3 linked regions of the Caenorhabditis elegans genome follow. The protein of the gene in region 3 interacts with the protein of the main gene of each other region in a pairwise test. Each region holds a gene or a part of one and is shown on either strand. Other genes may lie near its edges.

Evidence for each region.
Region 1: the proteins of gmeb-3 (region 3) and sex-1 interact in a two-hybrid assay, tested with the Caenorhabditis elegans proteins (one large-scale study listed by BioGRID).
Region 2: the proteins of gmeb-3 (region 3) and klf-2 interact in a two-hybrid assay, tested with the Caenorhabditis elegans proteins (one large-scale study listed by BioGRID).

What each region holds. Positions count from the first base shown.
Region 1 is NC_003284.9:10,203,691-10,207,447, forward strand, and holds the start of sex-1 (Steroid hormone receptor family member cnr14), read right to left. Parts: upstream 1,732-3,757; coding exon 1,558-1,731; intron 1,444-1,557; coding exon 1,251-1,443; intron 328-1,250; coding exon 179-327; intron 1-178. UniProt on the Caenorhabditis elegans protein: Transcriptional regulator which is involved in the sex determination and X chromosome dosage compensation pathways.
Region 2 is NC_003283.11:20,683,679-20,687,435, forward strand, and holds the start of klf-2 (Kruppel-like factor 2), read left to right. Parts: upstream 1-2,004; 5' UTR 2,005-2,020; intron 2,021-2,051; 5' UTR 2,052-2,138; intron 2,139-3,229; coding exon 3,230-3,418; intron 3,419-3,466; coding exon 3,467-3,757. UniProt on the Caenorhabditis elegans protein: Probable transcription factor which regulates lipid metabolism.
Region 3 is NC_003281.10:3,766,868-3,770,624, reverse strand, and holds gmeb-3 (SAND domain-containing protein), read right to left. Parts: upstream 2,126-3,757; 5' UTR 2,078-2,125; coding exon 1,937-2,077; intron 1,722-1,936; coding exon 1,547-1,721; intron 1,497-1,546; coding exon 1,400-1,496; intron 1,219-1,399; coding exon 1,022-1,218; intron 967-1,021; coding exon 778-966; intron 708-777; coding exon 376-707; 3' UTR 297-375; downstream 1-296.

The sequences.
Region 1 (3,757 bases), on a different chromosome or scaffold from region 3:
GAAGTGCTCATTCTCTCGCTCTTGGTCTAACATAAGGGAAAACAAAAAATCAAATAAGACGGTCATAAATATAGGTTTCGTAAATAGAACAAGAAGGGGATTTATGAGTGGAGAAGGGTTTCATTAAATTCAATAGAACCACGTGATTAGTGATCATTTTAGGACCATTCATGCCTACCTTGCATCCTTCGCATGACGTCACTCCGTAATGGTATCCACTTGCTTTGTCTCCGCATACTTTGCAAAATGAGATCGCCTTCCCAATGTGATGACGTTGAGTGGTATGACCATTTGATAAGGAATCAGGAGGAGACAACGATGAAGTTACTGTAAATGTAAAATTATCTAAGAAATTTTAGAAGAGTCAATTTTCAAGTGGGTGATATGGTCATACAACATTTCTTCGATTCTTCGAATTCTTCTGTTTTATTCTTTTTCTAAACTTATTTACACATCAGAAATATACAAATTTAACTCAACTTGGCAGATTACAGATTTAACATGCTATGTATACCAGTGAAATTTATTGAAGTACACTGTGCACACCATATTTGTTTCCTTCTCAATGATGACGTGATAGTATTTACCTAGTTTTCCTTGGTCCCGTTCTCTCCGCGACTCAGTAAGCTCTTAGCCACATCTTCAAGATTTGTGGCATATGCGTTCTCATTGTCTCTCTCACTCTCACAGTCTTTTTACCACGCCTACATCGCACTCTTTCACCGTTCTCTACGTTCTCCTCCTTTATTACACTTCGTCTTCTCCTCTTCTTTCACCCATCGGCATTCTTTTATTACCGTACCCATACATCACTGTGGTCTGGCAGCGGACGTCCAAAGAAATGACGAAACCTGGAGATTATTACGCAACCACGTCATAGCCGCTTGCCTTCACTTTCGTTGTACAAAAGTAGGCCATCTTAGAATACAGGAAGATACGTGGAACAGAGCACAACTGATCTGGTCCCTATCGAGCTAAATATGATCCAGAGAGGGAAGAGATGAAGAATGATTGCAAAGTCTATTAGACTTTTTCATTTTCTCTGCTCTCATTCTTCTATCAATTAAATGGGAGAAATAAAGAAAAAAGGCGAGAGAAACTCGGAAACTTGCAACACTTCTCAGACACATGTTCTTAGGTGAGGAAAAAAATCTGTGTTGCTGTAGATGTTGCTGCCACTTGTCACCACACACTTGATGATATGCCCCACCTACTGATAGATTTTGATAGAAATAGACTCCCTAACTTACCACTTGTTGCCGGCGAGCTCACGCTGGCTTGTGACGCCGTATCATAGAACTGATGGTGATTGTACCCATTGACGTTATTGAAGTAGCGACGGTGTGAGAGAGGGTCAGCGTAGTTGTTGGCGTTACCACTTTGAGCTGCTGTCGATCCGTTTTGGATTTGGAATTCTGACGAGAATTCATCCGTCACGTACGTCTGCAAATTGAGAAGATTTAGTTTTCAGTTTAATTCCTGGATTTCTATTTTGAAACTACGCATTAACTTTGTAAATCAGAACAAAATATGAAAATGATGACGACAAAAACTTACAGCTCCAGTCGGAAGATGTGACCATTGACCATTTGTTCCTTCTGGTTTGCTTGCCTCTGATGATGGAATTGAAGCTGTTTTTCCAGAAGGGCTGTAGTATGGAGATGTGCATACAGAAAGCGGTGTGTCAGGATTTGTCAGTAACAGATAGTTAGGTTTTGTTTCGAAACTCATCTGAAAATTAAAATTATTGAGTAATGCAGTAACGGACAACTTTCACAGTGGGAAGAGACAGAGAATTGGTAAGAGAATTATCTGAAAGGTAAAAGAAAGAAATGGAAAATCTGCTGACAAAGGAAAAGAACAGCAGTTCGAGAAAAACGTGATAACAATTTGATGAAGAGAACATGGAAAGCTAGAATCTAGAAATCAACAATTAGTTTTTAAAGCAGGGAACTATTAACTAGCAATAAGGAAGGCTGGTATCGTGTATTAATCTGCGCTGAATGCCTGCCTGTGGGTGAGAGGATGGGGAGAGACGAGGAGGATAGGCGGAGCTGAGGAGGAGTGCACCACTGGGAGATTGCTCGACAAGCAAGCACATTTCGATTAAAAAAACGGGTGGCATGAGGTGAGCTTCACACATGGTTTTAGAGTAAAATTTTACCTTTTAATTGATATTTTAGTACCGGAAAGTAAGAAACGTGTTCAACTTCTTAAATTAAAATTCAAAAGTGATCTGAATAGAACAATTTCCAAAAGCATTATGAAGTTTCCAACAAATTCAACTAGGTTGAGAAGATGTGATACAATTTATAACTACCTAGTATAGTCCTTCACATGTTAAGCCGCTACTACACATGTGTGCATTTTTTTTTTAAAAGTTTTTGGTAGAAATCATGGATGCAAAAATTGATCAGCCAAGTCCACAATCACGCACAAAAATAAACGAAGATAGTTTGAGCGAACAAGATTACTGCGTTCTCCCCCGAGAAAATGATTGCGTTGTTCTAGGCAATTCTTGCGCAATTTGCAATTAGATATTCCATACACAATGTGTTGCATGGTTGCGTGCCTTTCTCACAGGAAAAAACTAGGGAAGAGGAGACGGTAAGATAAAGCAACAGAAGGAGGGCTCGAGATGAAGTACTATCCACTCGAGCTCACTTCACCATCATGTTAAGGTGTGAATTGACACCTCTTGGGTGAGGAGAAGTGACGAGATGTTGGGAAGCGATGACGTGTAGTGAGAAGAGTAAGATAATAATGTTTACAGAGTTGCAAAGAATCACACAGAGAAAACTCAACAAACTAGAGATATGCACAATGAAAAACAAAATATCGATCCAAAAAAGTGCGGACTGAGAGAGAAGAGGAGGCAATGCAGTGGTCCGCAATTGTTGGAGATGAAAAACGAGACAACTGTGATCGAGAAATGAACAGTCTGCAAAGGGGAGGAGAAGAGGCGAATGCGCACAACAAGACACCGTCTGGAAAGAGGTCTGCCGGTTTACAACCACCTTTAAAAATTGGTGCACATCGCTTGCGCATACACAACTTGGGAGATGAAATATATAGGACGGGAGGATACTCTAATAAGAGTGAATATTATTAATATCTCCAAAAATGGCACATAATATAGCACATAACTTCAACAATTAACGCTCGCCGGCTATTGCGTGAACTGTGTAACTAGTAAGGCATCTAAATTACTAACGGAATTCTAGATCACCAATATTTCGTCCTCCACTTGTACACTCGGACATAACAATACACCTTCGTGCACATCTTTCCCTAGCTAACATCTCTTAATGATGCAACTTATGCCTTTTCCCCGGTTTCTATTACGAAGAGACGTTTCAGTAACATGCACAATCTTTATGAGTTCACGAATTGCATTCCCGTTTCACAAATAAACTTCACCCTAACTTTGTACTTTATGGAAAATTCATCAAAACGACAGCTGGAACTGTTAAAGCATAAAAGACTCTCTGCGAAATTTTGTGCATCTGTCGATGTACTTTCTTCAAAATGACGAATTTTTGAACAATTCATAAATTTGTTTCTATTGCACCATGTTCTTCCATCTACACAGGCATTTTTCCAAGAAAAAAAAGAAAACAGCTGTTTCATTTTTCTCTACTCTTAACGATTTAAGATACATAAGCAAGATAAAAATCATCAGGAAAAACGTAAGGGAAAGTGTTTTCCATGACACAAAACATTATCTAACCGATGAAGTTGATTAGATAGTGCAATG
Region 2 (3,757 bases), on a different chromosome or scaffold from region 3:
ACTTATCTGCGAAAACTAGAAATATTTTTAACGACTATTATACTAAAGTTATTATATATATTTTTTAAGGGATTCTTAGAATTCACCTATTTTCATAATACAAATTATAGAGGATATAAAAAATACCTATATAATAGATTGTAGTTATTGTATTTTCTCACTTCCGTTGTCTCAAAAAATGGAACCTCTTCTAATTATCCTTTTCGTTATTTATTGTACAGTTTTTGTAATTGGGACTACTGGAAATTTGATTATGGTCCTGGTGACATATTATTGCAAGTAAGTACATCAACAATTTAAATTTAAAAAAAACAAATTTCAGAAATCTCCGGTCAATTTGCAACGTCCTTATTGGTTTGTGTTGCTTTTACGATCTATTACTTGCTGTTCAATTTTAAAAACCAGATTCCAAAAATCGAATGAAAATTGTTTACGACTCATCTTGCACTTTTAAACACGCAAAAATGTAGAGTGTCAGACAAAAAGATACATTGCCACTAAATTTGTATGTCTATGTAAATATATATGTGTATATATAAATATATTTCAGAACATATGTACATACTTGTTTACTCACATCTGAATTCTCTTCGAGATCTTCTAATATTTTTATTAGTTTTTTTTGTCAAAACTCAAAATCCTGACGGTTACAATTTTTACAAAGAATTAGGTTGCTGGAGTTGCCTCAGTTAAAACCATACTGCGAGTTTTACCAGTCGAACACACCTTTCCATTATCTCAATATATCAAACATTAATCAATCATAAAACTGATATGGTCCCGCCGCAGTTGAAAAAAAGGAGACCGCCCGTCCAAACAATATTCTCAAGTACGTTTACATACCTAGTCGGCACTTTTAACAGTAATCACTGCTTCCTCCTCTTCCGCACCCACTTACTGGATTGTTCGCACCCGTAAAATCATAACTTCCCGACTGTAGCAAGGCGAGGCGGTAGGGAAGAGGGTACTAAAATTGGAGGTGGGAGGGGGGGGACGTTTGGATAAACACAGCATTGGGGTATCATTTTAGAGTACTGTAAGTGATACTGTTTGTGGATATGTATAGTTTTTTTTTTCAATCTAGCGTCTACATTTCCCTTCTGTTTTTAGTCCCGCACGTCATTTTCAGATTTAAAACCAAATCTTGGTTGTGACTTGACTGTCCGCAAATCCGGCAAATAGGCAAAATGCCGGTTTGCCTATTTGTCGGAATTTTCATTTTCGGCAAGTTGCCGGTTTGCCAATTTGATGGATATCAGATTTGCCAAAAATGTTTAGAGGGATTTTTTTTATAAGACGGAAACACTTAAAACTGTGCCTTTTTGAATTTTTTTCCGTTTTTTTTTTTGAAATTTTCATAGAATTTTCATAGAAATAGAATTTCTGATTTGCCGGCAATTTGCCCATTTGCCGGAAAAATCGTTTGCCACCCACCCGTGATGTACTGTACTATTGATCAAAACCGGCATAACTTTGGAGCACTACAAAGCCTTGTGTTCTTTCTATAAAATTTCTGAACTTTGAAAACAAAATTATTTATCACATGTCCTTTTCCCAAAAAACTCCCTTCCTTCTTCTATTAATGACACCCATCTCCCCTCCACACATTTTCCGCGCACACACCTTTCTGCCACCCCTTTCTCAGAGAAACAACAAACCTCCCCGTTTTTTGGTTACTGTTTGCCCATGCCTATCAGTTTTGACATGCTATCATAAAATGGCACTTGCAGGGCATATGTGCGCCTTCTTGGATAATTTTCTTCTAGCTTGACCATCGTCTTCTTGACATGTTTATTTTTTTTCGAAATGCCCAAAAGTGTCGTAATCTTTAGATCAAACATATCATGACCACCATCTACACATGCTCAAGTTTTCTGTATTTTCTATTCTTGGGGGGAAAGAAAAGTTTGCTCAAGTTTTCTGTTTGTTATCATAGGAGTGACCGGTCTGGTGTCACCACACCCCTTTTTTGGAGCCTGGGGAGCTCACTTTTTTGTAGACCAGAAGAGGTGTGTATATTCGCTTAGGATGTTTATTTTTGTGGAAACATTAGTCATTTTTCTTTAGTTTCACGATAGATGCTCTACTAATGAAGGCACGTATTGTAATCTAGCATTAACATTGTTTTGTTCTTTGTGGTGAGTACATAGGTATTTTGTTTTTAGTGAGTTAGTTCCTACGTGTTCAGTGCATTGAGAGTTAGAGCCTTATAGTTAGTAGTTAGTTCCCAGAATTTCGAACTTGAAAGTTCTTAAAAATGGAGCAGCGCCATTGGGGAAAATGCTAAAAACAACTCCTATGGTGTCAAAAATGACCGAATATCAAAATAAAACTTTCAAAAAAATTTTGAAATTTTTCTATTTACTGTCAAAAACTGACAAGTGCTCATTCTTTGCCACTCATAATTTTAGAAGTCGGAAAAAAATTTCTTGCATTTTTTATATTTTCATTTTGTTTTAATTATTTGTTTTAAAAAATTATAGGGGTCGGAACATGCGACACTGCATTGAATTTCCTCAAAGGCTCATATTTTTCAATATTTTGGCAATGTGCCAAAACTTTGACCTGGAATTATGAGAAACCTAAAATTTTTAGGAGTGTTGCATCATGATATTTTGTCGCTTTGGTTTAATATAAGTGAGACAAAATTCTCACAGGCGCTACTCCACCTTTAACTTTCTTATCTCTTGAATATTTCGGTTTGAGTGTGAATTCTCTAAATATCAAAAAGATCCAAAAATTTTGCTACTAATTCCCCCTATTTGTATATACACTTGTGATATGACGTAAAAACATATTCACAAGAACTACAACTTTCGCTTTGAAAATTCACAACAAATATCGAAAAGTAAGCAGTAGGCAAAGAAGAACGCAAGACTTTTATGACTTGAAATGTATTGAACGAGAATGAAGACGTCACATTTGTGCGTGTGTGTATGCACAACGGTATTACATGGTGTTGTTGTAGTGTTGGAATATTTGTACTATCTACTAGTAGAAGTTGCCTTACTTTGGCTTATGGTTAAGATTTTCACTACAAATTTAGAACTATGCATACAATTAGGTTCAGGCATTACATCTTTTTTTAACCACAAAATGAATTAGTATTTGCCTATGCTAATTTTTATTTGACCTTCTGTTACAATGTAATTTTTGAAAATTCGTTTCAGAGTCTCACTCTTTTTTGGTGATTTTCAATTTATCGTTATTCATCTACAACTCCTTCCAGATGTACTCTAGCATAGTCCCGTCTAGTTCAAATGGTTACTATCATCAGTCTCAATACCAAAATGCCCATCACCAACATCATCAGCAGCATTATCACCAACAATCTCATCATCATTATAATGGAGCAGCTGCGGCTCCAGTCATCAATGTTCACAACTATCATTTTCATACGGGACCTGTTAATAATCAGGTTTTGTATTTAATTGAAGTTTTTAAATTCAATTTTCTATTTTTTGAGGTCATCGAGCAGCACTACAATCATCATAACCATGTCCAACAAACTTTCGAAGAAAATATTCCACAAGGCCCGCACAGTTCTTTCAATTTTTCCCATGACTTTCCACAACAGAATAATTCCGAAACTCACCTCAATCACATGGAACCTTCGATGACTCCAATGGAACATCAAAACTCGGGAAGCTCGACACCATATCCGTTTGAAGCCAAGTTATTCGTTCCATCGCCTGCAGCGTCTGTATCCAGTTACTCATTTTCAAGCGATTTGTCGGGTAAAGACGAGGAAGATCCC
Region 3 (3,757 bases):
TTCGTCTGTCAATCTATTTTTCGTCTGTCAATCTATTTTTCGTCTGTCAATCTATTTTTCGTCTGTCAATCTATTTTTTCGTCTGTCAATCTATTTTTTCGTCTGTCAATCTATTTTTCGTCTGTCAATCTATTTTTTGTCTGTCAAGTCGTATATTAATTTTTAATTTTTAAAAATTATCAAGATCACCCAATAAAAAATGTGGTTATTTATATGCCTGTAGGTCAGTTTTTTTATTGAACTGGAAGCTTCTGGGAAATAGAACAATTTTGTGATTAAATTCTGAAAGCACTTAAAACTTGAAAAAATCTTTTATTTAAATACTAGTACTGGTACGAACAGTACAGAACAAAAAATAATTATTATTAAAATCTATTAAAGATCCTCCAAAAGATAACTGCATCTAGGTTGATTATCCAAGTCGTCAGCTTCAGTTTGAGCATCTTCTTGATATTTTCCCTGGTCCTCCATCATTTCATTTTGCTTCTTCTGTTCATTCACATTTCTCTCGATCGATTGCACTCGATTCACAATCGGCTTCTGGATACCAAGAGCAAATGTGGCACGAGTCAGAACAAATGCACTATTTTGATTCAAGGATTGAGTCATTGCAGATTGTTTCAGATTGATAGCACCGGCAATTATGTCATCACAGAATTGAGAAATGAAGCCGCTTCGCTTGATTTGAGACCAGAAACTCATTGGATCTGGAATCATTTGGAAGTTTATTTGATAGGTAGAGGCAGTGAAACTCGAAAATATGCAAAAACTCCTTACCATTTTGCAGACAACTGTAAATATCCTGAGCTGGGCTGCACACAGGTCTTTCTGGAGCTGGGGATCTTGTTGAGAAAGCTGGCTGGAAGAACTCTTCAAAAACAAGCTGATCTTCTGATTCAACAAAGTTGATTTCCAGCTTTGCCTTGTTTTTCTTGCCTGCTGGACGCCCACGACCTCTTTTCTTGACTGAAAAAATAGGATTTCCTTAAAATTAAATGCACCATGATTTTTAAAATATTACTTGGCTCTTCACTAATTTGTCCACTACTTTGCTCCGTTGGCTCAGATGCATCATCTCCGGAAGCTAGAACATCTTCGAGGTGACGTTTGTTAACTGGAGCTCTGCCCGTTGAGTTCATGTAGTTGCGACTTTGGCACTGTCCATGACAGATACTCTTGTGATTATAGAAATCGATGGTTTTGTTCTCCAATAGTGTTCTGAAATTTAATGAATTAAAACTGGAACGTTAAGAATTAAACGTGGCTAGCAGTCCCAAGCAAAAGGTTACGATTAAGCCCAAACCTAAGCCTAGCACATAACCTAAAACCGAGGCCTAAGCCTAAGCATACGCCTGAGCCTAAACCAAAGCATACAATTTATTGATCTTTCTGCACTCACCTCAAGCTAACATTCTCCACACGAATACACGCCTTCCAGTCTTTCTGTCGCCCTTTTCCACCAAGTTCCGTAAATTGTTTCGGAGTCAGATACTGTGCTGAAATTCCAGAATAAATTCATTCTCTCACATTATAAAAGCCACCATACATTCATATTCGATGCAAGCCTGACGAATTCCGGGGCACCTGAACAATTTGAGATGCATAATTCCTTTGACATATCCACAGGTAACCGGCACCGTGGTGGCATTTAGAGGTACAATTGGTGTCCAGATATGTTCAGATGGAGTATCCAGGTAAGTATAGCTGAGTTCCGATGCTTGCTGTAATATTTATTTGTTATTTTCGAATTGCTAATTGGAGCCAAAATGGCATTTTTCGTATCTCAGACAGCAATGTAGGTGCATTTGAAGTTTTCAAACTAAATTGAAGATTTTTTTCGAGCCAAAAAAGTATTTCCGAGACTAACAAGACTATTTCAATTTTTGGAAGAATTGTTTCCAAAAAAATTGTCTCAAAATTTCACATCCCAACTCACATCATACATATTCTCCTGAACGCGTCTCCCGTCTATCTCGAAATTTGGATCACTTGGAACCAGCATCTCTTCGTTTTTCATCTCACTGGTTGATCCGAACTCGGGTTGAGTAGAGAATTCGAAATCATCGTCGTCACACATTTTTCAGGTAATCGATGAATAAAGATGGGCGACCCGACGCGACACGATAATTTCTGACACGCAACTAGTTTTCCGCCAGCTTGGATCTGTTGGCTTCTCGCGTGTTTTTGAATATTTTTAAAATAAATTAATGATTTTTTTTTTGAAAAGTTAAGGCATTTCAATGATCAAAAATATCATTTATACTGGAAAAATTGCAGAGAAAAATCCAAAAAGTATTGTGGTATCGTAAGCCTTACTAGGGACAAACAATATGATTATTAAAATAGATGACTGCAGAAAAATTAGTTTCGGAAGAGCATTTTGAACTAGCAAAAAAATGTTTTTCATAAGAGTTTTTTTAAGTTCTTGCGAGGCCCGGTAATTTGCATGGAAGCTTTTTTTTTGAAAAAAAAATCAGCTTCTAAAATTGTTTACCCAACTAAATTCAAAAATTTCCAGATTTTTTTCCAGTACGTTTGTTGTGAAGAATTACACAGAATTCAAAAAAATGCTCTGCAAAATTATTTGAAATGGGATTTTTTCTGAAACATCCGGTGTTAAACATTTTTACTATTTTTCTGTTACACAGGGTAAATCATCCTCCACGCCATCCCATTACAATGAGCACTGTATTTGAGCATATCCACATTCCATTAAAAGTGGTGGGTGACCCGGACTTGTACTTTTACTTTTTGAAACCGCAATTCAATGATCTAAATACCCATGAGAGGCCCGATAATGAAGGTGATTTTATACTTTTTAACGAACAACGATTACCTCATTCGTCATATGACTGGAGCCTGGAGCTAGCTACAATTTTTACATTTAAAATGTTTTTTTTTGTTTTGAAAATTAACTGTTTGCTTGTTTTTTTTCATGTGCAGTGGAGAAACATCTGGAATTAATTTTTAGATATATTTTTATGTTCTAGCTAAGATATGATTTTTTTAATTTTAAAATATTAATGGGTGAATAGGGGAATACCTATTCAATGAATTGCGGCTGTGCATGAAAAATCGCGAAGTGGAAGTTATATATTTTAAAATTTATGAAATTTCCTAAATTTTCAAAATTGTTAATTGAGCAGGCGACATTGATTGTGGGCTCCATCTCGGCATATCCAGGGTACTTACGCAATACTGGCTAGTTTATTGTAATGGTACGGTACAGTAGCGTTACTAAAGCAAGCTCTTCTTGTTTTTTGACTGAAATACTACAGTTAGGATCCACGCCCAAAAAAACTGAAACTCTTTTTTTGCTCATTCCCAGTATCAAAAGTAACAAACTTTAATATGATAGTATCTTATTTTGTTTTTGTTCAAATAGATGGTTGATATCGTAAAAGCGATAGTGGGAATGCTTGTTTTTCAAGTTTTAGTTTCGAATTTGGTTGTTACAAAACTAAGGTATGATAAAGATGTTCTGCTTTACTTTTTTGGCCAAAAAAGTATCAAAAAAAAGTTTGAAACACAGATTCCCACCACTTTCAGCCTGTCTTAGAACAAATTCCATTTTCTCTTGCTGATAAGCTGTCTATGAGAGAGACACTATTTACATTACCTCAATATACTTGCCATAATGTTACTTGGTTTTGAAACTTAATGAATCATAATACGTTTATTGTTGCATTGAGTCCCCCCTTTCAAACAGGCGGTCCCCCCTACCTTATGTGTCCCTCCCCACCAGCCGAACCTCCAA